6 linked regions of the Callithrix jacchus genome follow. The protein of the gene in region 5 interacts with the protein of the main gene of each other region in a pairwise test. Links are inferred from orthologs where the notes say so. Each region holds a gene or a part of one and is shown on either strand. Other genes may lie near its edges. The genes, in order: IYD, SF3A3, NEK8, ASNS, TRIM69 and MAGEA4.

Region 1 (5,306 bases), on a different chromosome or scaffold from region 5:
TCACACAATGTTCTCTCACCACTCCCCCACCCCCCCAACACATACGCATGCCAATTGCCTGATCTGTGAACATGGAATAGGAATTCTTTGTGAATCAGAGCTGCAGGAGGTTGGATTGGTACCCATATTTTCTTTAACTCAGGCTAGAATGGCCTGCAATACTTATTTTACCATTTAGTGTCTTGTTAATGTTAAAAATGGTTTGAATCTGGTATCTATTTGCAGTCAGCAGCACCATCTCCATGTGTCTTCAGTAAAGGAGTCTGTTCTCTTCTCCAGTTAGCCCCTGCTCAATCCCTTCTGGACCTAGAGTAAGATCCCCACATAGACCATGTCTACCTGCCCTGTGACTGAGAGCAGGGGCTTGGGGGCCTGAAAGCCTGCGTTTAAGCACTGGTTCTCACCAGTCACCTGTGTGACCTTAGCATGCACTACTTATGTAAACAATGTAAGAGAGGTGGAGTAAATCATTTCATCTTCAAAACGATACAACAAGGTAGGCACTATTAGATTCCCCATACAAGAGATCTGTGGATGACACACACAGGCCAGACTTTGCCCCAGCTGCTAAAGAAGACACTAAGGCTGTCCCATTCATTCTTCTGTATAAAGAGAAGAGAAGAATGAGGCTGGCATGATGTAATCCCAGGAATTTGGGAAGCTGAGGCCAGCAAATTGCCTGAGCTCAGGAATTCACGACCAGCTAGGCAACATGGTGAAACCCCATCTCTACTAAAATACAAAAAAAAATTAGCCAGGTGGGTGGCATGTGCCTGCAGTCCCAGCTATTTGAGAGGCTGAGGCAGGAGAATTGCTTGAACCCAGGAGGCAGAGGTTGCAGTGAGCCGAGATCACTCCACTGCACTCCAGCCTGGGTGACAGAGGAAGACTCTGTCTCAAAAAAAAAAAAAAAAAAGAAAAGAAAAAGAAACAAAGAGAGAGAGAGAGAGAAGGATAAGGATGAAAAGGAACAGAGAATGAAGAGGCAACACATTTTGCAGAAGTTAGTAATCACGCAGAGAACCAGAGAAAGGCCCTTTAATCCTGCTCTATGTTCTCAGCCTCCAGGTCCAGCCCCAGGACCTGACCCTCAACAGACTGCCCAAGCTCTTGTGTCCTCAAACCTCATAGGTATTCAAATCTAGTGGCCTTTCCTCAATGCACACTCTTGCTAGGCTCTGAGAGAATGTTTTCCCCTGCTGGCTGTCTCCTGCCTCCTCCATTCTAGGTCATTCTCCCAGGGGAGAGGCAGCCAGCAAACAGCTACGTGTCTGGACCCTGAAGCCAGACTGCTTGGGTCCCGTTTCTGCAATCACCTGCCTGGGCTTACCCTATTCGGGCCTCAGTTTCCTTATCTATAATATGGGGATTCTAATAGTGCCTACCTCGTTGCTCTGTCATGAAGATGAAATGATTGACTGCACATAAAATGTGGCTCTCATTAATATACATAAGTAAGTGCTATTAATATACATAAGGGCGTGTTATTGTTACAATCCCAGAGCCCCGTTTCCCACAGCTTCTTCCTTTCTCTAGTACATTTCTCTTCCACAGTTCCTCTTAACTGCAGGTGTCCCCTAAGTTCTATTCCCACCCTTCTCTCTAGCAATGCCCACTTTGTGAATTCATTAGTTCTCCAGGTTCCAAGTCTCTTCCCCATACTGCTGACTCTCCAATCAGTGTCTGTGGCCTGGGCCCCTAACCTAGGCTGCTCTCTCCCTTTTCTGCTCAGATGTGTCACTGTCATCTCAAATCAAACATGTCCTCAATGGAACTCAACATTTTCCTCTTTAAGCAGGATCCTCATTCTCCCACCCACTTATGACACCATCCCAGCCTCCAACTCTCCCACTCTCCTCCTTTTCCCACCATCCAACCTATTAGCAAACCCTGCTGCTCTTCCATTAACTTCACTCTGATCCATCCCTTCCACTGCATTCCCACTGCCCCCACATCCGGGCCATCCTTCCCAGCACAAACCATTACCCAGCTTCACAACACATGTCCCCTTGATTAAGGAAAGTGCTTCTTCACTGGGCCGAATTGGCATTCTGAGTGGAAGAGCTTTCAATTCCAGAGAATAAGAGGAGCCCTGCTGAGAGGCTGGACCTCTAAGAGGTGCATTCAGCCCTACAGGATCCTAGCACTGAGGACCAGCTGGACACCCTTTGTCCCAGTCCTGAGATTAGGACACACACTCACACACTCATGCTCACACACACTCATGCATGCTCACACACACATGCACACTCACATTCCCACTCACATACTCACACTTGCACACACATACAGTTGTGCACACACACACGCACATTCATGAACACTCAAATGCACATGCATGCACACACACACACATACACTCAAGCATACACACTCTTATGGACAGACACACATGCACATTCATGAACACTCACACATACATTCACACACACATGTCCAGGTGGCCTCTGTTTGGGAATGGGGACATCATTCGCCCAGCTGAGGATCATGGAGGCTCTTCCAAATTGAACCCATCCCAGACAAAGCTTCTCAGACACAGATGGCTCAAGCCTCCTCCATAGTCTCTCCCTTACTACCTGCCTCCTTCATCCTCCTCCACAGTCTCTCCCTTACTACCAGCCTCCTTCATTAACTCTTGATGAAGGAGGCAGGTAGCTCTTGCCCTCAGTTCACTACTTCCGTTCTTACCCTCCCCCTGCCCTTGGTTCTCCACTTCCTCTCTTATCCCCGTTCCAGGCCTCCCGCTGCTTTTGCTCCTTTTGCCCCTTGTTGCCTGACAGGCCTCTCAGCACTTGCTGTTTGTTCCCAACCCGGTTTGTCCTTTCCCTGACTGCACCATCAAATTCCCAGGCCTGCTCCAAACACCTCAGAATTAGTTCCACCGGGTCTGTCTCTTTGTTACTGTCTCTGATTCTCATGCATCATCGTGGCAGCTGAATTGGACATTCAGTTTGTTGAGAACAGAGACCACCCCAGTCTTTCACTTCCAGGGTCTGGCAAGGGAAAGGTAGCAGCCTCCTAGGTGATGCCACTTGGTAGATTTCAGTTTCTGATCAAAACCCGGTCACTTTGCCCCCTGCCCACTACCAGCCTGGGATGAATCCCTGCAGGAAGGTTTTAACAACCAGAACAGAATTGGAGCCAGGGAAAATTTCAGCTTCTCAACAGCTTTTTCACTGAGCATCCAAAATAAAAAAAGGTTGGTGCCAGCAGGTGACAAGCTCATTACTGGCGCGAGATGATCTGTCTGTGCCAGGCACTGATTCATTAGCACACTAGAAGTTGATGCTGAAGCTGGTCTGTGTTTCTTCCTCTCCATAAGCCCTGCCGTTGACTCACACTCATCAGCAACACACATGACAGCAAAGCTAAGCAGCATAGCCAGTGTCTTTACCTTCTTCTGCTTGGTGCAGGTCAGTGCTGTCTTTTAAGTCTTCATCCACCCAGGGGCGAGCCTCGGCCCTGGTTGTAGCCTCCCCCTTCTTTTTCTCCATGCTTCTATTAGCATTTTTAAAGATCCACACAACCAAAATGCAGAGAATGGCTACCAAGACGGGAGTCAAGAAAAACATGGTTCGGAGTCTGATGCACAGGGGTGCACACTTCCCACACTGGTTTTTAAACACACAGAGATAGAAACAGAGAATGCCGGGAGATGGAAGGAATGCAGAGAGAGCTGTGCCAGGGAAGGAACAAAGTGCAGAACTCTTTAACTCTATGAGGACTTTGCCAAGGAACAAAGATCACAGTCCCATGTGTGGGGTGTTGTGGCTTTGGTCATGCACCAGGGCATTCACTTTTTAAAATTACATACTCAAGCACCATCTTCTTAGGCAGCAATGCCAGAATCTGAGTAAGAACTTGCACATGCCAGATCTAGCTGGATCACGCCACCAAATCAGATCTGCTGGAAGAAAATGTTCAAAAAAGAGGTTTGGTAAAATTCATTTTAAATAGCATGTTTGTGAAACGCAGCCCTAGGGTTTTGATTTTTTTTAAATGATACGTGAGCCAATATATGAAATAAGGAGAATATCATGTTTTGCAGCAGAGAAAAGCTTTGATCTAGGAAATGTGACACAAAAAAATTAAAGTGACAACTTCATTATTTATATAATAACTTCAGTAAGGCTTTTTGTTTGTTTGTTTGTCTGTTTTAGTAAATGCCTTAGTCAATTACGGCTGAAGTAACAAACATACTGTGGATCTGGTGGCTTAAACAACAGAAGTTTATTTCTTGGCCTGGCATGGTGGCTCATGTCTGTAATCCTAGCACTTCGGGAGGCAGAAGGGGGCAGATCACTTGAGTCAGGAATTGGAGACCAGCCTGGCCAACCTGTTGAAACCCCTTCTCTACTAAAAATACAAAAATTAGCCAGGCATGGTAGCAGGCACCTGTAATTTCAGCTACTCAGGAGGCTAAGGCAGGAGAACAGCTTGAACCTGGGAGGCAAAGGTTGCAATGAATCAAGATTGTGTCACTGTACTCCAGCCTGGGTGACAAGAGCAAAACTCCCTCAGAAACAAAAAAGGAAGGAAGGAAGGAAGGAGGGAAGGAAGGAATGAAAAAAGAAAGAAATAAAGAAAGAGAGAGAGAGAAAGAAAGAAAGAATAAATAAATAAATAAATAAATAAATTTATCATAGTTCTGTAAATTGAGAAGTCCAGAATCAAGGTGCTGGAAAATTAGCTCCTGGTGAGGGCTCTCCTTCTGGTCTGCCGACAGGTACCTTCTTACTGTAACCTCACATGGTGGAGAGTGGAGACAGATCATCTCTCTCTTCTCGTTTCTTATAAGGCCACTCATCTCATTAATAAGGGCTCCACTCTCATCACCTGTTCACCTCCCAAAGGCCCAACCTCCAATACCATTATACTGGGGGTTAGGGCTCCAACATATCAATTTTTATTAAACACATTCAGTCTTTAGCATCAAAGTACAAAAGTATGTATAATACGATGCCATTTGAATAAAAAAAGTAGAAAATATGACACATTTATACAAGCCTGTATATGTATAACATTTCCTGGAAGAGTATACTCTAAACTTTAAAGAGTTGTTATATCAGGAATTCTCTTTATTAATTTTTCAATTTCTTGTGAGTCTATATTATTTCAAAATAAAGGGTTACAAGAACAGTGGTTACTTGTTTTGGAGCGAGTGTGGAAACTGGATAGATGGGGGACAAGAGTGAGAGAATTTCTACTGAATACTATTCCATAATTTCAGAATTTTGAGCTGTTGTAAATATATTAGCTATTTTTATAAATGAATATATGTTATTTATTTCAACAGTCATTTTGAT
Region 2 (4,519 bases), on a different chromosome or scaffold from region 5:
AGAAGTCCAACTTTCTGTGTACTTCATTTCTGTGATCTTGTAACTTTTACATTGAAAATTCTACCTGAGGCTGGGCGTGGTGGCTCATGCCTGTAATCTCAGCACTTCGGGAGGCTGAGACAGGCAGATCACTGGAGCTTAGGAGTTTGAGACCAGCCTGGGCAACATGGCAAAAACCTGTCTCTACTAAAAATATAAGAATTAGTCAGGTGTGGTGGAGTGCCTGTAATCTCAGCTACTTGGGTGGCTGAGGCAGGAGAATCGCTTGAACCCAGGAGATGGAGGCTGCAGTAAGCCAAGATTGTGCCACTGCACTCCAGCCTGGGCAACAGAGCGAGAGTCCATCTCAAAAAACAAAAAAAATGAGGGCCGGGCGCGGTGGCTCACGCCTGTAATCCCAGCACTTTGGGAGGCTGAGGCGGGTGGATCATGAGGTTGATACCATCCTGGTCAACATGGAGAAACCCCGTCTCTACTAAAAATACAAAAAATTAGCTGGGCATGGTGGCAGGGGCCTGTAATCCCAGCTACTCAGGAGGCTGAGGCAGGAGAATTGCCTGAACCCAGGAGGTGGAGGTTGCGGTGAGCCAAGATCATGCCATTGCACTCCAGCCTGGGTAACGAGTGAAACTCTGTGTCAAAAAAAAAAAAAGAGAAAGAAAGAAAAATCCACCTGAGCTTTCACTTTTCCCTTCAGATCTGTGTGCCAATGTCAGTGGAATTTGAAGAGCTCCTGAAGGCTCGAGAGAATCCAAGTGAAGAGGCACAAAGTGAGTAGAGGTGAACATTTCATTCAACACCAGCAGCAGTTACAGGTCATGCAGCCATGGCCTCAGATATTGATAACCAGGTTTTCTTGTTGGTTTTGTCTTTGCTGCTTTCTGGGCTAGAGTGACATTCTAAATTGGTCTTGGGCAAAATGTTTCTTTTGTTCTCTCCTACCTAAAATTTACTGGCTTGGAAAGCCAAGCATTATTCACTTTAGTTCACAATACTAAAATGAGTCAGCCCATGTTACCTTGTAAGAGAACACTCACTTTTGATCTCACTTATTGGAGGTTATATTGTGAGCACAGGGAGGATATTTGGGTGACATGCTGCCTCAAGAAACTAGGAACAAGCAGTCCATTTGAAAAGGTAAGTTCAAGAGAGTGGTCTGTAGAATCTGAATCATTGATGTATTTGATTCCCTCAGACTTGGTGGAGTTCACAGATGAAGAGGGATATGGTCGTTACCTTGATCTCCATGATTGTTACCTCAAGTACATTAACCTGAAGGCATCTGAGGTAAGACCTGGGAGAGGAGAGAGAGATTCTGATTCTAGAGGTAAGTCAGGACACTAGGCTGGGACTGCTAGACGTGAAGCCATTGTAGAGTGTCTTGTGTTTTCAAACTGTTATGTAAATAATATCAAAGAGGTGATAATGAAATACTATTCAAAATGAAAATTTTCTACAGTGAAAACATTTATTAATAAATTTTATTTTTATTTTATTTTTTTTGAGATGGAGTTTCGCTCTTGTTACCCAGGCTTGAGTACAATGGCGCGATCTCGGCTCACCGCACCCTCAGCCTCCTGGGTTCAAGCAATTCTCCCGCCTCAGCCTCCTGAGTAGCTGGGATTACAGGCACGTGCTACCATGCCCAGCTAATTTTTTGATTTTTAGTAGAGACGGGGTTTCATCATGTTGACCAGGATGGTCTCGATCTCTTGACCTAGTGATCCACCTGCCTTGGCCTCCCAAAGTGCTGGGATTACAGGCTTGAGCCACCACGCCCGGCCAATAAATAGTATTTTTTTATTTTGAGATGGGGTCTTACCATGTTGTCCAGTCTGTAATGCAATGGTGTGATCTTTGCTCACTGCAACCTCCACTTCTGGGCTCAGCCTTCTGAGTAATTGAGACTGAGACTACCACCACACTTGGCTAGGTTTTTTTTTTTTTTTTTTTTTTTTGTAAAGATGGGGTTTTGCAGTGTTGCCCAGTCTGGTCTCAAACTCCTCACCTCAAGTGATTCTCCTTTTTCGGCCTCCCACAGTGTTGGAATTACAGGCATGAGCCATTGTGCCCAGCCCATTATCAATACAACAAGTTTTGTTTTTTTTTTTTTTGAGATAGGGTTTGTTTGTTTTTCTTTCTTTTTTTTTTTTTTTTTTTTTTTCTGAGACAGAGTTTCCCTCTGTCACCAGGCGCCAGGCTGGAGTGCAGTGGCGCAGTCAATCTTGGCTCACTGCAACCTTCGCCTGGGTTCAAGTGATTTTTCCGCCTCAGCCTCCCGAGTAGCTGGGACCACAGGTGCGTGCCACCACGCCCGGCTAATTTTTTGTATTTTTAGTAGAGACGGGGTTTCACCATGGCCAGGATGGTCTCGATCTCTTGACCTTGTGATTCGCCCACCTTGGCCTCCCAAAGTGCTGGGATTACAGGCGTGAGCCACTGTGCCTGGCCTAAAATTCTTATTTTTAAAAATAATTATCACGTTCCTGTTTTAGGTACGTGGAAGATAAAACAACTTGATCTTTCTGTCAGCAAAAAGCTATTTAATGTCTTTTCTTAAAGATGTTTAAACATAGCTTATCACATTAATGTCTTTTCTTAAAGATGTTTAAACATAGCTTATCACAAGAGATGAGGTTTAATATGACAATATCAGAAGAGTCACCAGGAAATACATGATTAGATTCTTCATGGAGTTGTGAGGAAATGTCCCAGAAGTACAGTGCCCAAACTTGAAGTTCCATGGGGGCAGGTCAGGTCCCTTGTCTGTTTTGTTGTCTTCTATACCCTGTACTTGGTACAAAGATGCTCAATAAGTGGTTACGTGTGTGAGTAAATGGCAACTTTCAGGACCTTACTTTAGGATATTAGAGTCTTTAACCAAGAGCCCAGCATGAGGTAATGATCAACAAATGTTTCCTTTAGTTTACTGTTTATTAATGTGATCTTTATTTTGTAAAGTTAATTATGTCTGATATTTGCCTGATATGTTTATTTTGTAAAGTTAGTTATGTCTGATATATTCCTACTTTATTTTGTAAAGTTAATTATGTCTGATATTTTACGGTCCAGTGAAATTAACACTCCAAATTGTAGTAGGATTGAATTATGGGAAAGCAAAAAAACCAAAATGGCCAGCCCTTGTTACCTTGTTAGAAAACACTCAATTTTGATCTCACTTAGGAGGTTATAACTTGTTCCAGTATAAATACCTAACTAAATTTTGTATCATTTCTTTCCTCTTTTCAGAAGCTGGATTATATCACATACCTGTCCATTTTTGACCAATTATTTGACATTCCTAAAGAAAGGAAGAATGCAGAATATAAGAGGTAGGTGTTAAGAGCTTCTATGCCTCTCCTGGATTTGATTAGAAGACAGTGTGAAGGTTTTGAGGGTGAAGTTACGAATTAGTTGCTTGGAAGGCATACATGAAGGCGTACTTCCTTCATACATGAAGGTTTATTGGAGGCTAAGGATTATAAATGATGTGGTTTTAAAACCTTCGAGATACTCTGGTTGTGGGCAAGGGTGTATCTGTGGACATATCTTCTATCTTATGCCCATACTGTTCTTAATTTTGTCTCACTGTAGAAGGAACTCTCCCACTCTGGGACTTCTGTGTTTTTGGAGTTTAATGGGAAAAAAATTAGACTTTCTCAGATTGTGACTGGAGTGAGATGCTTGGGTATGATGTATAAGTGAAAAATGTATGTTTTTGTTAGTTGCTCCCCTTATTAGTGATTTTATACCCTTTCTCTCTTTTTCTTATTTTCATTTTCCTGAAATATTTTCTGTGCGAGATTAGCATTATTTCATGAGAATAAAAGGAGGTAGGAAAGGTCAGAATCAAAATGATATGTCAAGAAAAAAGTCCGTTATAGGTTCATTTAAAAATGATTATTAAAAAATACTATTACTAGAATTATAAGTACTATTTATTCTACAGGGAATATAACAAGATACCAAAAATATAAACCCTTTTTGCTTTCTCTTTGTTACGTGTTCCTCTGTAGATACCTAGAGATGCTGCTTGAGTACCTTCAGGATTACACGGATAGAGTGAAGCCTCTCCAAGATCAGAATGAACTTTTTGGGAAGATTCAGGCTGAGTTTGAGAAGAAATGGGAGAATGGGACCTTTCCTGGATGGCCGGTGAGCTACAGTGGGGTGTGAATGGTGGACATGCCAGGGAATTGAACTGATTATTTTCCTTTATCTTGAGCTTCCACTTTAGGGCATTAGGTATCAATTCCTTGGTATCATTTGTGACCATGAGGTATTCCCTGCCGAGTATGCTAGGTTTTTCTGTGTGTACTTTGGAGCAAGATTATCAGGGCCCACTTGCCTTGGACTGTGCCCAGATTTTCGCCAATCATATCATTACTGCCATGTGGTTTCTGCTTACCAAAAGCTTATTCAATCATATGTTAGGAATCTGTATTCTTGCTTGTGGGGATAAACCTGAGTTTTTCCTGAACTCCCCAGGCAGGGAATGTGGACCAACTTTACCTTCATC
Region 3 (4,519 bases), on a different chromosome or scaffold from region 5:
CCTAGTGGTGTGAAGCTCAGGGCCTCCTCCACCTGCTGGTGGAGAACAGGCTCCTCCCCCAGGGAGAGATGGTCCAGGCCCAGCTTGTTGAATCTGAGGGCAGAGCCAGAAGCTAAATCCATCCGATAGTTTGGGCAGGAGCTGGTGCACCAGAAGACAGATCCCACCCTGTGTTGAACCAATAGCACCCTCAGCCCCCTCAATTCTGGTCTTTGGTGAGAGGTAGGCAATGATGGATGGAGCACTGGCAGCCAAGGAGAGCTAGGGACAGATTAGTCATCCCGATGACCTAGTCACCTGTTGCTTCCACAGGCCAGGGCTTGGCCAGGCACAGTGAGGATCATGGAGGAGTCGATGCCACATACAACTCGCTGAGCTTCCTGTCCCAGGGGCATGGGCACCTGCTGGGGGCAGCTGTGGGACTCCCTGGTGCCTAGTCCCAGTCTCCCTGTAAGAAGAAGCCCAGAAGGGGTTAATTTGAGCTTTAGCAGGGGGTGATGCCAGGATGAGGAGGGCCCACTGAGGGGAGGGAACGGCGTGAGTTTTCTGTTCTCTCAGCCCAAGATGCCTTTCCTAGGACTTTCTGCTGGTTGAAATCCTCCTTTATTTTTTATTCCTTCCTTCTTTATTTTGAGACAGTCTCACTCTGTTGCCAAGCTGGAGTGCAATGGTATGATCTCAGCTTACTACAACCTCCAACTCCTTGGTTCAAGTGATTCTCCTGCCTCGGCCTCCAGAGCAGCTGGGATTACAGGCATGCGCCACCATGCCCAGCTAATTATTTTTTATTTTTAATAGAGATGGGGTTTCACCATGTTGGCCAGGATGGTCTAGATCTCATGACCTCATGATCTGCCTGCCTCAGACTCCTAAAGTGCTGAGATTAAAGGTGTGAGCACCACGCCCAGCCTGTTCTTTATTTTTATTTTTTGAGACCGAGTCTCACTGTCACCCAGGCTGGAGTGCAATGGCAAGATCTCAGCTCGCTGCAACCTCCAGCTCCTGGGTTCAAGTGATTCTCCTGCCTCAGCCTCCTGAGTAGCTGAGATTACAGACATCCACCACAATGCCTGGCTAATTTTTTATATTTTTAGTAGAGACAAGGTTTCTCCATGTTGGCCAGGCTGGACTTGAACTCTTGACCTCAGGTGATCTGCCTGCCTCAGCCTCCCAAAGTGCTGGGATTATAGGTGTCAGCCACAGCACCTGGCCAAAATCCTCCTTTAAAGCCCTGTTCAGGTGCCATCTCTCTCCTCCAGTTGACATCACTGTTCACTGAGTTCCACACCTCTGCACCTGGTATGTAGCCCTGATGCTATCTGTTCTCTGGCATGCTGGAGACGTCATCTTTCCCCAACTAGACTGAGTCCTCCAGGAAGACAGGAACCCATCAATGTCATCTCTAGTTTCAGTGCCCACCCTGATGCCTGACCCAAAGGGACCTCAATAAAAATCGGTATGGCTGGGTGTGGTGGCTCACGCCTGTAATCCAAGCATTTTGGAGGCCAAGGCTGGCAGATCACCTGAGTTCGGGAGTTCAAGACCAGCCTGACCAACATGGTGAAACCCCGTCTTTATATTAAATAAATAAATAAATAAATAAAGATAGGTAGATGGCTGGGCACAGTGGCTCACACCTGTAATCTCAGCACTTTGGGAGGCCAAGGTGGGTGGATCATGAGGCCAGGAGTTTGAGACCAGTCTGGCCAAGATGGTGAAACCCTGTCTCTACTAAAAATACAAAAATTAGTCGGGCGTGGTCACAGGCACCTATAGTTTTTTTTTTTTTTTTTTTGAGATGGAGTTTCGCTCTTGTTACCCAGGCTGGAGTGCAATGGCGCGATCTCGGCTTACCACAACCTCCGCCTCCTGGGTTCAAGCAGTTCTCCTGCCTCAGCCTCCCGAGTAGCTGGGATTACAGGCGCACGCCACCATGCCAGCTAATTTTTGTATTTTTAGTAGAGACGGGGTTTCACCATGTTGACCAGGATGGTCTCGATTTCTTAACCTCGTGATCCACCCGCCTCAGCCTCCCAAAGTGCTGGGATTATAGGCGTGAGCCACCGTGCCCGGCCCACAGGCACTTATAATCCCAGCTACTCGGGAGGCTGAGGCAGAGAATCGCTTGAACCCAGGTGGCAGAGGTTGCAGTGAGCCGAGATTGTGCTACTGTGCTCCAGCCTGGGCGAAGAAGTGAGATTCTGTCTCAAAAAAAAAAAAAAAAAAAGGTAGATGAATGAAATTTCCTTCATTACATCATAAACACCTGAAGGAAGCCACATATGCATCTCATCTCATCACTAGCACAGGGTGTGCACATAGTTGGTGTAAAATAAAGATTTGCTGAATGAATGAAGAGAATTTGAGAGAAAAGAGGGAGGAGATAATGGGCTGTGGGATGGAAGTATGAAGGGGAACAAGTCATGGCTGAGGATACTGTGAGATGAGACTAGAGGCTGGAGCTTACCCCCATCTCCACGGCCCCACGCAAATAGTTCTCGCTCAGTGGACAAGGCCAGCACGTGAGAGGCCCCACAGGCCACCTGCACCATCTCATAGCCAAGCAAGGCCTCCACAATGGTGGGCTAAAGAGGAGAGGAAGTAAGGAGAGACTGGGCAAAGGGTCTAGACTAACCATCTGGCCTCAACACCCCCTGTAGGGACAAAGCTGGAGGCTGCGCATTCTCCGGAGGTGGCTGTGTCTTTAACTCTAGCCACACGCACTGCCAAGTGGGCAACCACTGGGGCAGCCTGGTCTTTCTGTACTTCCCCTGATGTAGGCGGCGTAGAGCAGGTGCAGCCGGGAAGCTAGAGGAACCTGTGGCTGCTGGGAACTCCCCTGTCCCCAATCTGGTGTCAGCTCTCAGATGTGGGCTCCCTGCCATCCCCTAACTTCCCCCTCCCCAGGGTACATGTGATACCCACCTGGCTGATGTCAGTGAGGCTGCCATGGCCTAGGCACCCATTGCTGCCACTGCCAAAGGTCATGATGATGCCTCGGTCTGGGGAGGAGGGCCGTGAGGAAGGAGAAGGAAGAGAAGTTAAGCAGTCATTCCAGATAGCCCTGTCCACCAGGGGGTTGCAGCAACAAAATAAAGTTGGGGACCAGGGCTGGAAAGATGGGATAGGAAGAGAGGAAGGATAGGAGTCTCTTCAAATGTATATGACTTTGGACAAGTGACACCCTCTCTGAGCCTTAATGTCCCCACTTGTCAAATGAGGATACTATAACTGTTTTGGCAGGCCTGTCCATAGGATCAAGGAGGTAGTGTAAGGAAATCTCCTCAACACTTACTAGAAAGAAGCAATAGCTTGATGACTAGTGAAAGCATTCGTTAAGTAAATGGTTTGCAAGAGAAGAGAGACAGTGCTCTGTGGGGCCTTATAGAAGGTCCCCACCCCGAGGTAGGCCCAAGTCTCACCCGTCAGGCAGGCGGTGAAGAAGTCCCCGCAGGCCACGTGCTTGATGGTCACGCCTGACTGGCCCTCCAGGAAGCGCGAGATGAACTGGGGCTGTGGCTGCTCCACTGCCCCAGGAAGGAGGGTGCCTCCGCCTGCACCTAGGGGTGGGGCCTACAGGGGCGGGAGGATGGGCAGTGCCTGAGCACCCCAACCCTTCTGTGGACCTACACTTCCACCTGTCCAGGCCACCTCCCCACTGGCCTGCTCACCTCCCACAGGATGAGACGCCCAGAGCGTGTGATGCCAGCTTTCTGCGTACGCCCAGCTGCCACCTGGACCACCTCTGTGTTGAGCATTGGCAGCCGCAGGGGGGTGCCCAGCCCACCACCCCAGGTGTACACTGACGACAGTGGTGGTGGGATGGCTGGCCTCACAGGTCCCCGGGGGACACCTGTGGGTACAGTGCATGGGGACTATTAAACTGATGTGAATGGTGTGCCATCTATGGGGACTGACGGCTTCTTCCCACTTACCTCTGCAGCGGACACTGGTGGTCCTGCTCCCTGTGCTGCCAGGGGTCACAGACTTCTCCACCCTGCGGGACAGACGGGGGCCTAAGAACAAAGACTCTCCTGACATTCCTACCTGCAGGGAGGGAGGACTCACCCAGGTGCCCCTCTGCCCCAGGCCTCCTGTGCTCCCATTGGGTGCCCACACCCTGCTGCCCAGGATCGCTTGCTCTCCCTGCACAGGCCTCCGCATGCGGACACTGCCCACGTCGGTGTGGAGGTTGAGGAGGGCACGAATGCAGAGGGGCTGTGCCATGATGTGGCTGAGTGGGGGCCGCTGGGCAGGCTCCAGGCTGAGTAGACTCAGGACCAGCTGGCGCAGCTCGGGGCTGTACCGGTCAGAGATGGGTGCAAAGGTGCCGCTCATGATCTTCAGCACCAGGGCTGGCAGGTTCTGTGAGGGCACCAGGTTGGGAAGTTGGTGAAGTGAGGGCAGCGCCCCCCAGCCCCAACCCCTGGTCTCCTGGGATAACAGCTTTGCCCTCAGGAGACTTCAGTCTGATGAGGTGATTCCCAGACCGCTAGGGGAGTCCAACCTGGCTTTCAGT
Region 4 (5,175 bases), on a different chromosome or scaffold from region 5:
TAAAGAGTTCCCAGTTCCATGGGATCTACAGTTCTATAAAATGAATATATACATATTCCATGTAAATATTTCACAACAATAATTTCACTACTAAAATTGTGAAATAGTAGTGAAACAATATTTCATTACAATAATTTTACTACTAAAATTGTGAAATTTAATAGTGAAACAATATTTCACTACTAAAATTGTTTTAAAATTAAAACACTTTTAAAATTTAATTTGTGTGTGTGTGTATGTGTGTTAGACCAGAGATTGGGGGGTGGGTCTCACTATGTTTCCCAGGCTGGTCTTGAACTGCTAGCCTCAAGCCACCCTCTTGCCTTAGCCTCCCAAAGTGCTGGATTTATAGGCATGAACCACTGCACCCAGCCTCACTTTTTGTTTTAGCAGATCCTACAGTGAGAAAGGAAGTAGCATTGTGATAGCGTAGCTAGATAGGGAGCAGTTCCGGAATGTGAAGAAAGGAGGTGTGGGAAGGGTCAGTCCACAGAAGCTGTGGCCTTCAGGAGAAAAGCTTTGAGGTCAGGGAGCCAGGTGGGTAAATGAGACTACTCCATCCCTTTTGTATCTCCTTGAAATGTCTTTTTTTGGCCACTCTCCCTGAAAGAGGAGGGCAAGGGAGCGAGGACAGAAAGTGAGGTAGAGAAGAGTGGTGCTCTGGAGGGACAAGCAGGAGATACGCAGCACAACGAACCACACTAGATAACACATCAAGTAGGGGAACCTGTCTTCCACTACACAGGCTACGTGCTATGGGACATGGGCTCTGGGTTTACACAGATTATGGCTCAGTTCTTTGCTGTTGTGAAGCTGTGTTTGGATAAATCCCTCAGCTTCTCTGAGTCTTATTTTTTCATTTGTAAAATGTAGACAGAAGACCTACTTTCCCTCATTGCTTTCAGGTTAAAAATGCATCAATTAGGATACAGCAAAGTCTGTTTGATGCTGAAAACTTTCCAGCAAGAATGAACCTGAGAACAAGTCATCGCTCATCTTTGCTCTTGCCTGTAACTGCTAAGCATCTACTCCATCTTCAGTGCTTAGGGATTTTATATTGTTGGCATTTTTGATTTAGTCAGGAATGCATTGTATGGGAATATCAAACCTGCATGCTTTCCACACATTGACTGTAGTCTGATCTTAGTAGGTGGTGCACATATAATTTTACTATTTCTCAATTTATTTTGGTGCTGATGTAATTAGTAAAATGCGATTTAAGAGTGTTATATATATTTTTAATCATGATGTCTTTTCATAAAAGTGATACTTAAAAGCACATCATCGTCTTGTGGAGGCACGTTGACAAAATTCTTTTTTGAGATTCTACAAGGAATCTTTGTACTTAAAATGTTTAAGAACCACTGATATATTTTGGCTTCACGTATCAATTAGATTTAGATTTTATTTTGTTTTAGAGATGGGGGTCCCACTTTGTTGCCCAGGCTGGAGTACAGCTCACCACAGCCTCAAGCTCTCCGTCTACCTCAGCCTCCTGAGTTGCTGGGACTACAAGGGTGTGCCACCATTTTTTGTAGAGATGTGATCTCACTGTGTTTCCTAGGCTAGCCTTGAACTCCTGGTTTCAAGTGATCCTCTTGTCTTGGCCTCCCAAAGTGTTAGGGTTACAGGCGTGAGCCATTTCGCCTGGCCCTCCGATTTATTAATAGATTTTATAAGGACATTTTAGGCCTTACCCATCAGTTTCTTAGGGCAAGCTTTTCTCTGCAATTCATAATAAATCAGACGGTAGTGCAACGGAAAACGGAGATGATTTCCCTAGAACAAACCATGTGCAGAAGACTCCCTGGTGGTTAGAACAGCAGGTAACCTGGGCAGATCTCTGAAGCTATCCTTAAACTGACGCACCGGAAACAAAAGAACTCCTCCTGGAGCATTCTCGCCGTCCTGGCTTAGTCCGCACCCGCCCGGCAGCCCCGTGGGCCCCGCCCCTGCGCGCGCTGGTTGGTTCTCGCCGGCTGATGAAATTTCCCATACGCATTACAGGAGCCAGACCAGTATAAGCGCCGGTAGCTCCTCCGCCCGGCACGCCATACCCCGCCCGGCACGCCGTCCGCAGACCTGGCGTCCGCAGACCTGGCGTCCGCAGCCCGCATCGCCCTGACCCGCTTGCGCCCAGGTGAGACGGGGCCCCGCGCCCCGCGCAGCACCCTCCTCGGGGGCTCTGGGGCTGCCCTGGGGGAGGAGGATGCGCTCTGTCGCCTGGCACCCGGCGGACGGACGCGCTTCGGGTCGGCTGATGCTGCGTCTCTGGCAGTAGAGAGGGTGGGGTGGACGCCTAGCGATTGTTGCGCACCTAGCGGCAAGCCGGTGCAGAAGAACCTCTGTGTCTTGATCCCTGAGGCATCAAGGGAACCGCGGCCGGAAGACTGGGCCGCTCCGTAGAGGGAGCGGCGACCTGAGCCCCTGTAGATGTTATATGTGTACTTTTTTTTTTTTTTTTTTTTTTTTTTTTTACTATGTGGCATTGAAGCCCGTGGACATTTTCCCGGTCCAGGACCGCTGCGGAAGAGCGGGTTGGAGCCTCCATGTGGCCGGGGCGCAGTCGCGTGTGCGTGGTTCTGATCTAGGAAGGAGAAACTGTGCTTTCCCTTTCAACTGCCCTGCTCCTCACCTGGCCTCCCTCACCATGCCTCCTCCCCTCTCACCCCATCTCCCCTCCAGTCACCACGCCTCTGTAGACTGCAAGACTTGACAAGTGACTTGCTGAGCAAACTCGGCCGAGAGGCAGTCTGTTTAGGGACACAGAAGGCCAAGTACAGAAAAAGGCAAAAGGACTAGCATGCCTGTTTCAATGGATGTCTATTTTACAGGGCTGACTTCAGGTTATTGTTAAAGCTTTAAATAAAAGGACAGTTTTCATCTCGGCCTGTGGCCTACATTATTTCTTTACTGTCCATTACTCTGGGCGCTTGGCTGATAATTTAACAGCAGTGTTTTTTTTTCTTTTTTCGTTTTTTGTAAATCGTGATTCATCGCATTACTGAAAGAGTAATTAGAGGTAAAGTAGGGCTTGAACCTTTCTATAGTTGGTTGCTTACTGAGATCTTAACATAAAAGTAAGTTGAGAGGGTGAAGTTTTAAGTAGCACTAAGTGGAATAGAAATGAAATGTACTGAAACTGCAGTGTCCAATTCGGTAGGCGCTAGCCACCTGTAACTGTTGAGCACATGAAATGCTGGCTGGTCCGAACTGAGATGTGTTGTGTTAAATACAATGGATTTTGTCGTTGGAGTAGGAAGAACAGTGTAAAATAGCTCGATAAGTTTTTATATTGATTACATGTTAAAGTGATACTATTTGGGATATATTAAGTATGTTTAAAATTAATTTCACCTTTTTCTTTTAATGGGGCTACTAGTATATTTAAAATTACATATGTGGCTCACATAATTATTGGATAGCACTGCTCTAGAAGTTTACGAAGAAAAAAGAAAAATATTGAGAACAGGTAGCAGCAGCAGTAGGAACTTTGCCCTCCTCTAAGACTGATTCCAATAAAAAATAAGTTATAGTTTTAATTGGCTTTTTCCCACTAGAAAAAAATAAGTGTACTTTACATGCCTCTTTGTTCTCCCCCTTTCCCCTCCAATTAGTGGTTAGCAGGCTTAATATTCACAAGCAGTGTATTCTGTGATGACCACTTTTGATTTTCAAAGCGCTTTCCTAACCCATTTTTAATTGGTATATAGTCAAAGGCAGATGACTTATTAGTAGTCATCCCATTTAAATCTCGTGGAGTTTTCCCACTAAATCTGAAAGTAAAGAATTTGTTATAGGCTATTTGGTCAAGTGCATGGAAGGGACAGTGTAGGATGTGTGGCATTTCATTTCCAAATTGCTTGAGATGATTTTCATTATAACCATGTATTATTTGGTTCTGGTTTTCTGGAAAAGCCAGCCAAACCTTTGGTTCATTTAGATAAAAATGAAATATCCTCAAAGTGACTTACGTAATTTGAATATGTATTTTTTCCTTAGGGTGCCTATCCCAAATTATCTGGGCATTTACTGCTATTTGCAGTTTTTAAAAAGAAAATATCAAAATTGTTATTTTTTTTAAGTTAGAGATGTTTTAATAAAAATGGCCATTTTGAGCTGGTAGTAGTCAAATAAAACAGCCCTTTATTTCACAGTTGAGAATTTGAAATTGGAAAATAATTAATGTATGTAAGGGTGATTTATTTGCTTCCTGGCTTATAGGGAAGAGCCAAGTTTTTTTTTAGGGCTGTTGCTGCTGTATATGTCCTATCTACTTTGTTTCCTTACTGAACATTAAACTTTGAGACAGAAATATTTGAGGACATTTTTTTCTGTTAGGATATTTTGATAGCAAACATTTTGTATCTTCTGTCAACCTAAAATGTTTTACTTGTTATAAAGCCAGGATATCTGATATCAAATTAAATTCCTTTTATTTCCCCTTTAGACTTTCTTCAATAACATCTGGATACATCATTTAGAGGTAAACTAGATATAATATAGTGAAATGCTTAAAAGAGCTGTGCATCTTAGTATTACAGATAGTAATCTGTAGTTTTTTTTTTCCTTTAGACTTTCTTCGGTAACATCTGAATACATCATTTAGAGGTAAGCTAGGTGTAATATACTGAAATGCTTAAAAGAGCTGTGCATCTTAATATTACAGATAGTAATCCTAGTATTACAGCAGTATGATTTTCTGTTCTACTCATTGTATTCTACCTGCAGCTACTTCAAGTAAAGAGAGGGTATTTAACTGTCAAGGGAACCTGAGAGGAGACTCTAGTAATCTGAAAGTCTCTTGGATCTTTGAGGGATTTTGGGATGGAGAGAGTGGGGCTGGGATCTCTGGCTAGGTAGGAGCCAGCCTGCATTTGTTTCTGTATCTTGGAAGCAAACTTCGATTGCAGAAATAGATGTGGCCTGGATGTTGCTAGCTCTAGCCAACCACTAAGGTGGGAGAGATGCAGGCTTTGGCTGGGTGCTAAGCTGCTGTAGCTGGTTGGATATAGAGGTCACTATCTTTTCTGAATACTTGTAGGTAAATTCAATCATTCTCTACTCCCATGGGCCTGTCAACCTAATGGGAAATAGCAATAGAAAAGGTGGTTTACATTTTAGTCTTTGAAGTGGTTTATACACGTTTCTGGAATCAAGATTTAATGCAGACTT
Region 5 (4,519 bases):
TTATTGGTTTTCTTCTGAAGCACTGAAAATCTAAACAGTCTTCTAAAATGCTCTTTGCAATAATCAAGCACAAAAGAAACTATAAAGACCCAGTGTACATACAAAGAGCATGTAAGAAACCTCCTTCTTCAGAGCAGAGAAACCCCAGGGATCCATATAGCTGATTTAGCAAAGCAACATAAAATTTTGTCTGTTGCCATATTTCATAAAACAGTCAAACAAAATCATAGGCTAAGAAGCAATCCTGATATCAAACTCTTATCTGTTAATCAGCACAAAATCATAAATTCTTAGGTCATGACACTAGAAGAAATTCAGTCATACCAACTAGTCTCCTTTTGTCCAAACTCTACCCCTCCACTATCACAGACTGTAAAAACCTAATTAGGGCCACAGAAAAGATCCCACAGATTAAACATAGATTAGGAGCCCCAAGAACCAACAGTTACTACCCACTGATACCTGGAGAGAGAGTGTCGTGCATTTCCCTCCATACCATGTACTGGATAGGACCTTTGTACTGGCCCGGGTTCAGATTTCTGGAAATAAGCTCTCTTGTTGCCAGCACGCTCATTCCTTGCTTCAAGCTGCAGGGGACATAAATCATTTATCCTTAGACATCCTCCAGAGACTCAAGGAAGGATATTGAGAGTACCATAGGAAAGCACTTACCTATCTAAGAGAGGTACAATGTCCTAGAAGAAAGGAGAAAGAGAGACATCAGATGCCTGTTCATCAGCTCCCAAACTTCCTTTGGTAATACTAGCCACCACCAGGATTTGTGCAGATGGTCCCCAACTTATCATCTCTCCCAGCTTCTTATTCTTCACACACTTTTTCTAATCTTCATCCCTGATCCTAACCCAGGTTAAACTGGTCTTTTGCTTTTCTAGAGTTCCCTCTACAGGGAGCAAGACAGAAGCCAATAGTACAACACTTAAGGTTAAGCTATCTTTACCTATACTTTCAAATAGTCTCAGAGGAAAAACACAGTAAGTATTCCAGTCCCAAGGCCACTTTTCCTTACTGTAGCTAATTAAACTTCTGAATGCTGAGATGGTAACCAATGTCGCTTTAGAGGTGAAGCTTAAGAAAGCAAAGGATAAAAAAAAAAAAAAAAGAAAGCAAAGGATACAAAACAGCTTTTCAGACCAGTCAACTTATGATTACTGAGAGCCAGAGATACAATTCATGCTGCAACATTTTTATTTTTCAGAAATAAAGTGTCAGGCTCTTGATGGAAAAATATTAAACTATTAATATATACTATTATTAATGGGATTTTAAAATCTTATTTCCTAGAGGATAAAAGTAAAGCTTTTGCTGTGCATATAGCTGAAGTGCCTTCCTGCTTTTCTTCCAGAGAATCTTAGAAGCACTATAGCAATTTTGTTTCCTTTTGTTTTCCCTTACTGGGAAAAGCCACTTCTGCATTCTTTCCAAACCTCTTCCCCCATCTAGGTAGGAAGGTACCCATAATCATATTGGTATAGATTCTCACTTTGAGAAAGTCGAAGGAGTTCTGTTCTTCCATCTTTGCCTGAATGCTCACCAACATATCCTTGGCTAGGACACATTGCTTCTGAAGGTGGCTCAGATTCAGCTCCATCTCCTCATTTAAGGCTTTCCCCTCTTCCTGGAGTTCAGTTAAAATATTCTCTTCTTTGCTGTCTAGGAACTTATGCAGCTTTAGAAACTCCGTGGACACATGTTGCTGCAGATATAGCTCGTTTTCCTGGAAACCTCCATGATTATTACCATGGTTATTATAGAGACTAGTGCTTGGGGATGGGGAACCCACACCACCAACACTCACACACTTGGGAAAAACCATTACAGAAAAAATGCATACAACTGTCTACTGATAATCAAATTCAACCACATTAAAATGAGTCCTTTGGGAGACTTACTCCTTTTCCAACTAATTTAATAGTTCAGGGTGAAATAGTCAAAAGTAGCCTCTAGGTTCCTATTGCAATAATGAGATGGTAACCAGGGCCATATTAAATAGGGCTGTGAAGTTCATCGAACATTCTAGAATGGATGATAACAGTCTCCTAGATTGGTAAACCATTAGCTGCCAAGTGGTACTATTAGACTGGGGTCATTGGGAGTCTGGAAGAACTATCCTTACCTAGAAATCAGAACTGGGGGAATGCCACTCCTGCTACAAGGACAATATAAAAGAAGCACTTCAGATGTTTCTGAAGTGCCGAAATTGATAACTGGTACACTTATAGCTTTTTTCTTGAGTGACCTCAACATCCTCACAGGTAAACCATTTGGTGTCCTGGCTTCTCAGTTCCTCATTCTCCTCATTTCTAGTGATTTTCACCTTTATTGATTCATTCCCGTAGTCTCACAAAGGATTTTATCACCCCCAGCAATTGCATCATCTCCAAAATAACTTTTTATGCACCAAGCTCACTCAGAGACCCCTATTTCAACAATTATTGGATCTCATTGAAACCTCCTGTTCACCAACCCCTTCATTTCTATTCAGGAACTTCTACCTTCATGTCTTCTCTTATCTAGCTTGGATTCCATGGTCCATAATTATTATTGCACCCTTAAGATAGTCTTGGCTGGGCTCACACCTGTAATTCCAGCACTTTGGGAAGCCAAGCTAGGAGGATTGCTTGAACAGGAGTTCAAGACTGGGCAACATACTGAGACCCAATCTCTCCAAAAATAAAATAATTAGCCAGGTATGGCACACTAGTCCCAGACACTCAGAAGGTTGAGGTGGGAAGATCTCTTGAGCCCAAGAGTTTGAAGTTACAGTGAGCCCATATCCACCTCTTCAATATCATCTTGCTTAGCAAGTTCCAGCTTTATTGGCCTTTTCTCTATTTAACATAGCAGCTAACTTTCTGTCTCAGGACTTTTTCATATGCTCTTTTCTATTCCTAGAACATTCTTCTCCAGGCCACCTCCTTCATATTCTCACTCACCCAGTTCACTTCACTAAGTTACTTATCATTCAATTCCCAATTTTTAGTAAGTGACTTCTTCAGAGAACTTTTGTGGACCAATCATAAGAATAACCAGAAGCCCGATGGTGACAGACTGCTTTCTCCCAGCACGGCCTCCTGTTTCCTCCCTCTCGTGTCCCTCCAGGGAAAATGGCTTTATTGCTTATTTTCCAATGCACTTTTGGGCCTTTTTTTTAATAGCTGGAAAAAACAAAATACCACTCCACAAACCTGTATTTAAAAAGAAACGGAAACAACCAAGTGAAATTTGCCTCTGTCCAGACATTTCACTCGTGTGTGTGTGTCTGTGTGTGGGTGTGCAAAGCCACATTCATCTTTTTATATGGGGTTGTTGTCTCATTTCGGTCTGTGTTGGTCCCCTCCCTCGTGGGCTTGTGCTTGGGATCAAACCTTTCTGGCCTGTTATGATTCTGAACATTTGACTTGAACCGCAATTGATTAAAAGTATAATTTTTACCTGGAAAACAAAAAAGTCAGTCTAGACTATGTTCTCCATTTATATGCTCTCATCATACCCTATGCTTTCATTATAGTGCTTATCACAGTTGTTATTTTATTTATACTGATGAGTTTGATTAACATCTGTCTCCCAACCCCAGTCTCTAGTATTATGCTTGACCCACTCAATAAATAGTTGTTAAATGAATGAATGAATGAATGTTGACACTAATAGGAACTTTTACAACAGGAACAAGATTCCCTAAAGACATCATTACTTCCACATATCCTCCTTCTTTCCCTGACTCTACATATTTCTTCTTCCAGATGGTAAATACCTGAAAGGCTCTTCTCCATAGAATAATTAATAAAGAAACAGAACTTCCAATTTAGCACTGCCAATTTAGGGGCTGATTTGCGAAATCTGTAGCCATTAGTGTTGTCTTAGAGTGCCTATGAAGTTGAAAGTGCAGACAATAGCTTTATTTAGTTTGGAGGAAGCTAAGAAGGATCAAATCAGATGGAAAAAGCTTACAACCATAGAGACACAGGTCTAGAGGTTTCTGGTTATAAACTCAAAAGAAAGAAGGGTATTTCTTTGGACATAGCAATCTTTAGTGATTTTTTTTCTGGTAAATTCCTTCTTTTGCCATATATAAACCCAAAAACCAGACAGATTTCAACCCCACAACAGTTACCTGGTAAATGAACCATCAAAAAGATCAGCATATTAGGGGAAAGGTTAATCTGCTCTGTTGAGCAGCTATTAGGAACCTACTCCACCACCATATTCCTTTTGGGTACATGGTGGGTGTATTCCAGTTCTAAAGTTACATGGAGGGTGTGTTCCAGTTCTCTCTCATAACCCCTCTATCTTGCTCCTCACCTTGCAAGCAACAATAGCTTCCATCTGCTTCTTCCTCAGGGACTGAAGCTCCTTCAGAGTTGCCTCCAGTTGACCCTGTTGGGTGGCAAGCTCCTCCTGAGAATACCAAATAGAATTAGCCCAGACTGACTCAGGAGATAACGGATGAAAAGGACATCTTCCCCAAGGCCCCAGTGTGCAAGAAAAAAGCAAGCTCTTG
Region 6 (4,979 bases), on a different chromosome or scaffold from region 5:
GTGAGACGTAGAGGGAGGACGCAGGAGGTCCCCTTCCCCGGTAGACGACTCCAAATAATCTCTTACCACTCCGGCTGCCAGCCCTCGGCCACCCGTGGGTGGACTGCTTAGTGGGGGAGGGGCACCACCCCTACTGCCGTTGAAGCCACAGGGGACTCGGGACTCAAAGAACTTGGCGTGGTCAATGCAAGACTGGTGGGGTAGGCTGTGCCAGGAATTAACGTGGGGATCCCAGGAGAGGGCTCTGAGTCCCCCATTCCCATCCCCTTTCTCCAACCCATTCTTATTCCCATCCACCCTCCCATCCCGCACCAATACCCCCATTCTCTCAAGCTCCTACCAACCTCATAAACCCATTCCGCCACCCCAATACCCCCACCCCCAACCACGCCGGATCCGGTTCCACCCAGTCACGCCCAGATGTGACGCCACTGACTTGCGCATGGGCGGCGGGTTAGAGAGAAGCGCGGTTCTTGGTCTGACCAGCAGCTCGGGATTGGGGGAGGCAAGCGGGCAAGGCACTGTTAGGAGGAATGCTGAGACGCTGAGGGAGGACTCAGGAGCTCCCCACGCGAGATAGATGACGCCAAATAATCCATTACAACTCTGCTGCCAGCTCTGGGCCACCCGTGGCTGGACTTCTGAGTGGGGGATGGGCACCACGGCCACTGTGGTTGGAGTCACAGGGGTCTCGGGACTCAAAGGGCTTGGCGTAGTCAGTGCAAGATTGGTGGGGATAGGCTCTGCCATGAATTAACTGCAGGATCCCAGGAGAGGGCTCTGAGTCCCCCATTCCGTCTCCATTCCCCAACCCATTTTTATTCCCATCCACCCTCCCATCCCGCACCAGTAACCCCATTCTCTCCAGCCCCTACCAACGTCATAATCCCATTCCCCCACCCGCAACCACGCAGCATCCGGTTCCACCCAGGTGCCCGGATGTGACGCCACTGACTTGCGCATGGAGGGTGGATTAGAGAGAAGCGTGGTTCTTGGTCCGACCAGCAGCTCGGGGTTGACGGAGAGAAGCGGGCAAGGCGCTGTTAGGAAGCAAGGCGAGACGCTGAGGGAGGACTCAGTAGCTCCCCACCTTAGATAGAGGACCCCAAATAATCCCTTACCACTCCTGCTGGCTGCCCTGGGCCACCCGTGGGTGGACTTCTGTGTGGGGGAGGGGACCAGTCAGAGTGCCGTTTAAGCCACAGGGGACTCGGGACTCAAAGGGTTTGGCGTGGTCAATGCAAGACTGGTGGGGGTAGGCTCGGCCAGGAATTAACTTCAGGATCTTAGGAGAGGGCTCCGAGTCCCCCATTCTGTCCCCATTCCCCAACCCATTCTTATTCCCATCCACCCTCCCATCCCGCACCAGTACCCCCATTCTCTCCAGCCCCTACTAACCTCATAATCCCATTTCTCCCACCCCCAACCACGCAGCATCCGGTTCCACCCAGGTGCCCGGATGTGACGCCACTGACTTGCGCATGGGGGGTGGATTAGAGAGAAGCGTGGTTCTTGGTCCGACCAGCAGCTCGGGGTTGACGGAGAGAAGCAGGTAAGGCTCTGTTAAGAAGCAAGGCGAGACGCTGAGGGAGGACTCAGTAGCTCCCCACCTTAGATAGAGGACCCCAAATAATCCCTTACCACTCCTGCTGGCTGCCCTGGGCCACCCGTGGGTGGACTTCTGCGTGGGGGAGGGGACCAGTCAGAGTGCCGTTTAAGCCACAGGGGACTCGGGACTCAAAGGGTTTGGCTTGGTCAATGCAAGACTGGTGGGGGTAGGCTCGGCCAGGAATTAACTTCAGGATCTTAGGAGAGGGCTCCGAGTCCCCCATTCTGTCCCCATTCCCCAACCCATTCTTATTCCCATCCACCCTCCCATCCCGCACCAGTACCCCCATTCTCTCCAGCCCCTACTAACCTCATAATCCCATTCCCCCACCCCCAACCACGCAGCATCCGGTTCCACCCAGGTGCCCGGATGTGACGCCACTGACTTGCGCATGGGGGGTGGATTAGAGAGAAGCGTGGTTCTTGGTCCGACCAGCAGCTCGGGGTTGACGGAGAGAAGCGGGTAAGGCTCTGTTAAGAAGCAAGGCGAGACGCTGAGGGAGGACTCAGTAGCTCCCCACCTTAGATAGAGGACCCCAAATAATCCCTTACCACTCCTGCTGGCTGCCCTGGGCCACCCGTGGGTGGACTTCTGCGTGGGGGAGGGGACCAGTCAGAGTGCCGTTTAAGCCACAGGGGACTCGGGACTCAAAGGGTTTGGCTTGGTCAATGCAAGACTGGTGGGGGTAGGCTCGGCCAGGAATTAACTTCAGGATCTTAGGAGAGGGCTCCGAGTCCCCCATTCTGTCCCCATTCCCCAACCCATTCTTATTCCCATCCACCCTCCCATCCCGCACCAGTACCCCCATTCTCTCCAGCCCCTACTAACCTCATAATCCCATTCCCCCACCCCCAACCACGCAGCATCCGGTTCCACCCAGGTGCCCGGATGTGACGCCACTGACTTGCGCATGGGGGGTGGATTAGAGAGAAGCGTGGTTCTTGGTCCGACCAGCAGCTCGGGGTTGACGGAGAGAAGCGGGTAAGGCTCTGTTAAGAAGCAAGGCGAGACGCTGAGGGAGGACTCAGTAGCTCCCCACCTTAGATAGAGGACCCCAAATAATCCCTTACCACTCCTGCTGGCTGCCCTGGGCCACCCGTGGGTGGACTTCTGCGTGGGGGAGGGGACCAGTCAGAGTGCCGTTTAAGCCACAGGGGACTCGGGACTCAAAGGGTTTGGCGTGGTCAATGCAAGACTGGTGGGGGTAGGCTCGGCCAGGAATTAACTTCAGGATCTTAGGAGAGGGCTCCGAGTCCCCCATTCTGTCCCCATTCCCCAACCCATTCTTATTCCCATCCACTCTCCCATCCCGCACCAGTACCCCCATTCTCTCCAGCCCCTACCAACGTCATAATCCCATTCCCCCACCCCCAACCACGCAGCATCCGGTTCCAGCCAGTCACACCCAGGTGCCCGGATGTGACGCCACTGACTTGCGCGTGGGGGGCGGGTTAGAGAGAAGCGCGGTTCTAGGTCAGACCAGCAGCTCGGGATTGACGGAGGGAAGCGGGCAAGGCTCTGTTAGGAGGTAAGTTGAGACGCTGAGGGAGGAAGCAGGAGGTCCCCTCCCCAGATAGAGGACCCCAAGTAATACATTAGCACTATTGCTGCCAGCTCTGGGCCACCGTGGGTGGACTTCTGAGTGGGGGAGGGGCACCACCCCCATTGAAGCCACAGGGGACTCGGGACTCAAAGAGCTTGGCATGGTAAATGCAAGACTGGTGGGGGTAGTCTTTGCCAGGAATCAACGTGGGGATCCGAGGAGAGAGCTCAGAGTCCCACATCCGTCCCCATCCCCCAACCCATTCTTATTCCTATCCACCTTCCCATCCCGCACCAGTACCCTTATCCTCTCCAGCCCCTACCAACCTCATAATCCCAATCCCCCACCCCCAACCACGCAGCATCCGGTTCCACCCAGTCACACCCAGGTGCCCGGATGTGACGTCACTGACTTGCGCGTGGGGGGCGGGTTAGAGAGAAGCGCGGTTCTTGGTCTCACCAGCAGCTTGGGATTGGGGGAGGGAAGCGGGCAAGGCTCTGTTAGGAGGCAAGGTGAGACGCTGAGGGAGGGACGCAAGAGGTTCCCGTTCCAGATAGACGACCCCAAATAATCCATTAGCACTCCCTCTGCCAGCTCTGGGCTACCTGTGGGTGGACTTCTGAGTGGGGAGGGGCACCAACCCCACTGCCGTTTAACCCACAGGGGACTCGGGAGTCAGTGTTTGGGTTGGTCAATGCAAGACCGGTGGGGGTAGGCTCTGCCAGGAATTAACGTGGGGATCCCAGGAGAGGGTTGAGCCTCCCCCATTTCCAACCGCATCCACAGCCCATTCTTATTCCCATCCACCCTCCCATTCCCCACCAGTACCCATATTCTCTTCAGCCCCTACCAACCTCATAATTCCAATTCCCCAACCCAACACAGACGCCCATCCACGCAGCATCCAGTTTCACCCCGTCACACCCAAGTGCCCGGATGTGATGCTACGGGCTTGCACACGGAGCGGGGGTGTTAGAGAGAAGCGCGGTTCTTGGTATGACCAGCAGCTTGAGATTGGCAGAGAGAAGCTGGCAAAGTTCTGTTAGGAGGCAAGGTGAGATGCTGAGGGAGGACTCAGGAGGTCCTTACCCCAGATTGATGACCCCAAATTGTCCCGTACGATTCCTGCTGCCACTCCTGGGCCACCCATGGGTGGACTTCTGTGTGGGGGAGGGGCACCACCCCCACTGCGGTTTAAGCCACAGGGAACTCGGGAGTCAGAGTTTGAGCTGGTGAGTGCAAGACTGGTGGGGGTAGGCTCTGCCAGGAATCAACGTGGGGATCCCAGGAGAGGGCTCAGAGTCCCACATCCGTCCCCATCTCCCAACCCATTCTTATTCCCATCCACCCTCCCATTTCCCACCATTACCCCTATTCTCTCCAGCCCCTACCAACCTCATAATCTCATACCCCCAGCCCCATCCACGCAGCGTTTGGTTTCACCCAGTCACTCCCAGGTGCCCGGATGTGATGCTACTGACTTGTGCATGGGGCGGGGGTGTTAGAGAGAAGCCCGGGTTCTTGGTAGGACCAGCAGTTTGGGATTGATGGAGCGAAGCGGGCAGGGCTGTTACGAGGCAAGGTGAGATGCTGAGGGAGGACTCAGGAGGTCCCCACCCCAGATAGATGACCCCAAATAATCCCTTACCACTCCTGCTGCCAGCCCTGGGCCACCAGTGGGTGGACTTCTGAGTAGGGGAGGGGCACCACCCCCACTGCCGTTTAAGCCACAAGGAACTTGGGAGTCAGAGTTTGGGGTGGTCAATGCAAGACTGGTGGGGGTAGGTTCTGCCAGGAATCAATGTCAGGATCGCAGCAGAGTGATGA

The links.
Region 1: the proteins of TRIM69 (region 5) and IYD interact in binary tests that used the Homo sapiens proteins (3 or more experiments, as listed by UniProt). The two-hybrid records come from large-scale screens. The link is inferred for Callithrix jacchus from reciprocal best matches to the Homo sapiens genes TRIM69 and IYD.
Region 2: the proteins of TRIM69 (region 5) and SF3A3 interact in binary tests that used the Homo sapiens proteins (3 or more experiments, as listed by UniProt). The two-hybrid records come from large-scale screens. The link is inferred for Callithrix jacchus from reciprocal best matches to the Homo sapiens genes TRIM69 and SF3A3.
Region 3: the proteins of TRIM69 (region 5) and NEK8 interact in binary tests that used the Homo sapiens proteins (3 or more experiments, as listed by UniProt). The two-hybrid records come from large-scale screens. The link is inferred for Callithrix jacchus from reciprocal best matches to the Homo sapiens genes TRIM69 and NEK8.
Region 4: the proteins of TRIM69 (region 5) and ASNS interact in binary tests that used the Homo sapiens proteins (3 or more experiments, as listed by UniProt). The two-hybrid records come from large-scale screens. The link is inferred for Callithrix jacchus from reciprocal best matches to the Homo sapiens genes TRIM69 and ASNS.
Region 6: the proteins of TRIM69 (region 5) and MAGEA4 interact in binary tests that used the Homo sapiens proteins (3 or more experiments, as listed by UniProt). The two-hybrid records come from large-scale screens. The link is inferred for Callithrix jacchus from reciprocal best matches to the Homo sapiens genes TRIM69 and MAGEA4.

Annotation. Positions count from the first base shown.
Region 1 is NC_133505.1:157,223,739-157,229,044, reverse strand, and holds the start of IYD (iodotyrosine deiodinase 1), read right to left. Parts: upstream 3,592-5,306; 5' UTR 3,573-3,591; coding exon 3,395-3,572; intron 1-3,394. UniProt on the Homo sapiens protein: Catalyzes the dehalogenation of halotyrosines such as 3-bromo-L-tyrosine, 3-chloro-L-tyrosine, 3-iodo-L-tyrosine and 3,5-diiodo-L-tyrosine.
Region 2 is NC_133508.1:74,555,669-74,560,187, reverse strand, and holds part of SF3A3 (splicing factor 3A subunit 3), read left to right. Parts: intron 1-697; coding exon 698-770; intron 771-1,195; coding exon 1,196-1,287; intron 1,288-3,249; coding exon 3,250-3,332; intron 3,333-4,016; coding exon 4,017-4,155; intron 4,156-4,519. UniProt on the Homo sapiens protein: Component of the 17S U2 SnRNP complex of the spliceosome, a large ribonucleoprotein complex that removes introns from transcribed pre-mRNAs.
Region 3 is NC_133506.1:104,869,697-104,874,215, forward strand, and holds part of NEK8 (serine/threonine-protein kinase Nek8), read right to left. Parts: intron 4,366-4,519; coding exon 3,936-4,365; intron 3,854-3,935; coding exon 3,672-3,853; intron 3,574-3,671; coding exon 3,423-3,573; intron 3,003-3,422; coding exon 2,926-3,002; intron 2,586-2,925; coding exon 2,468-2,585; intron 449-2,467; coding exon 298-448; intron 169-297; coding exon 1-168. UniProt on the Homo sapiens protein: Required for renal tubular integrity. May regulate local cytoskeletal structure in kidney tubule epithelial cells. May regulate ciliary biogenesis through targeting of proteins to the cilia.
Region 4 is NC_133512.1:51,799,540-51,804,714, forward strand, and holds the start of ASNS (asparagine synthetase [glutamine-hydrolyzing]), read left to right. Parts: upstream 1-1,994; 5' UTR 1,995-2,140; intron 2,141-2,683; exon of another isoform or gene 2,684-3,022; intron 3,023-4,450; exon of another isoform or gene 4,451-4,486; intron 4,487-4,575; 5' UTR 4,576-4,611; intron 4,612-5,175.
Region 5 is NC_133509.1:32,467,983-32,472,501, reverse strand, and holds part of TRIM69 (E3 ubiquitin-protein ligase TRIM69), read right to left. Parts: intron 4,417-4,519; coding exon 4,321-4,416; intron 1,736-4,320; coding exon 1,502-1,735; intron 696-1,501; coding exon 673-695; intron 588-672; coding exon 463-587; intron 1-462.
Region 6 is NC_133524.1:148,211,627-148,216,605, forward strand, and holds the start of MAGEA4 (melanoma-associated antigen 4), read left to right. Parts: upstream 1-1,472; 5' UTR 1,473-2,519; coding exon 2,520-2,590; exon of another isoform or gene 2,591-4,206; intron 4,207-4,979. UniProt on the Homo sapiens protein: Regulates cell proliferation through the inhibition of cell cycle arrest at the G1 phase. Also negatively regulates p53-mediated apoptosis.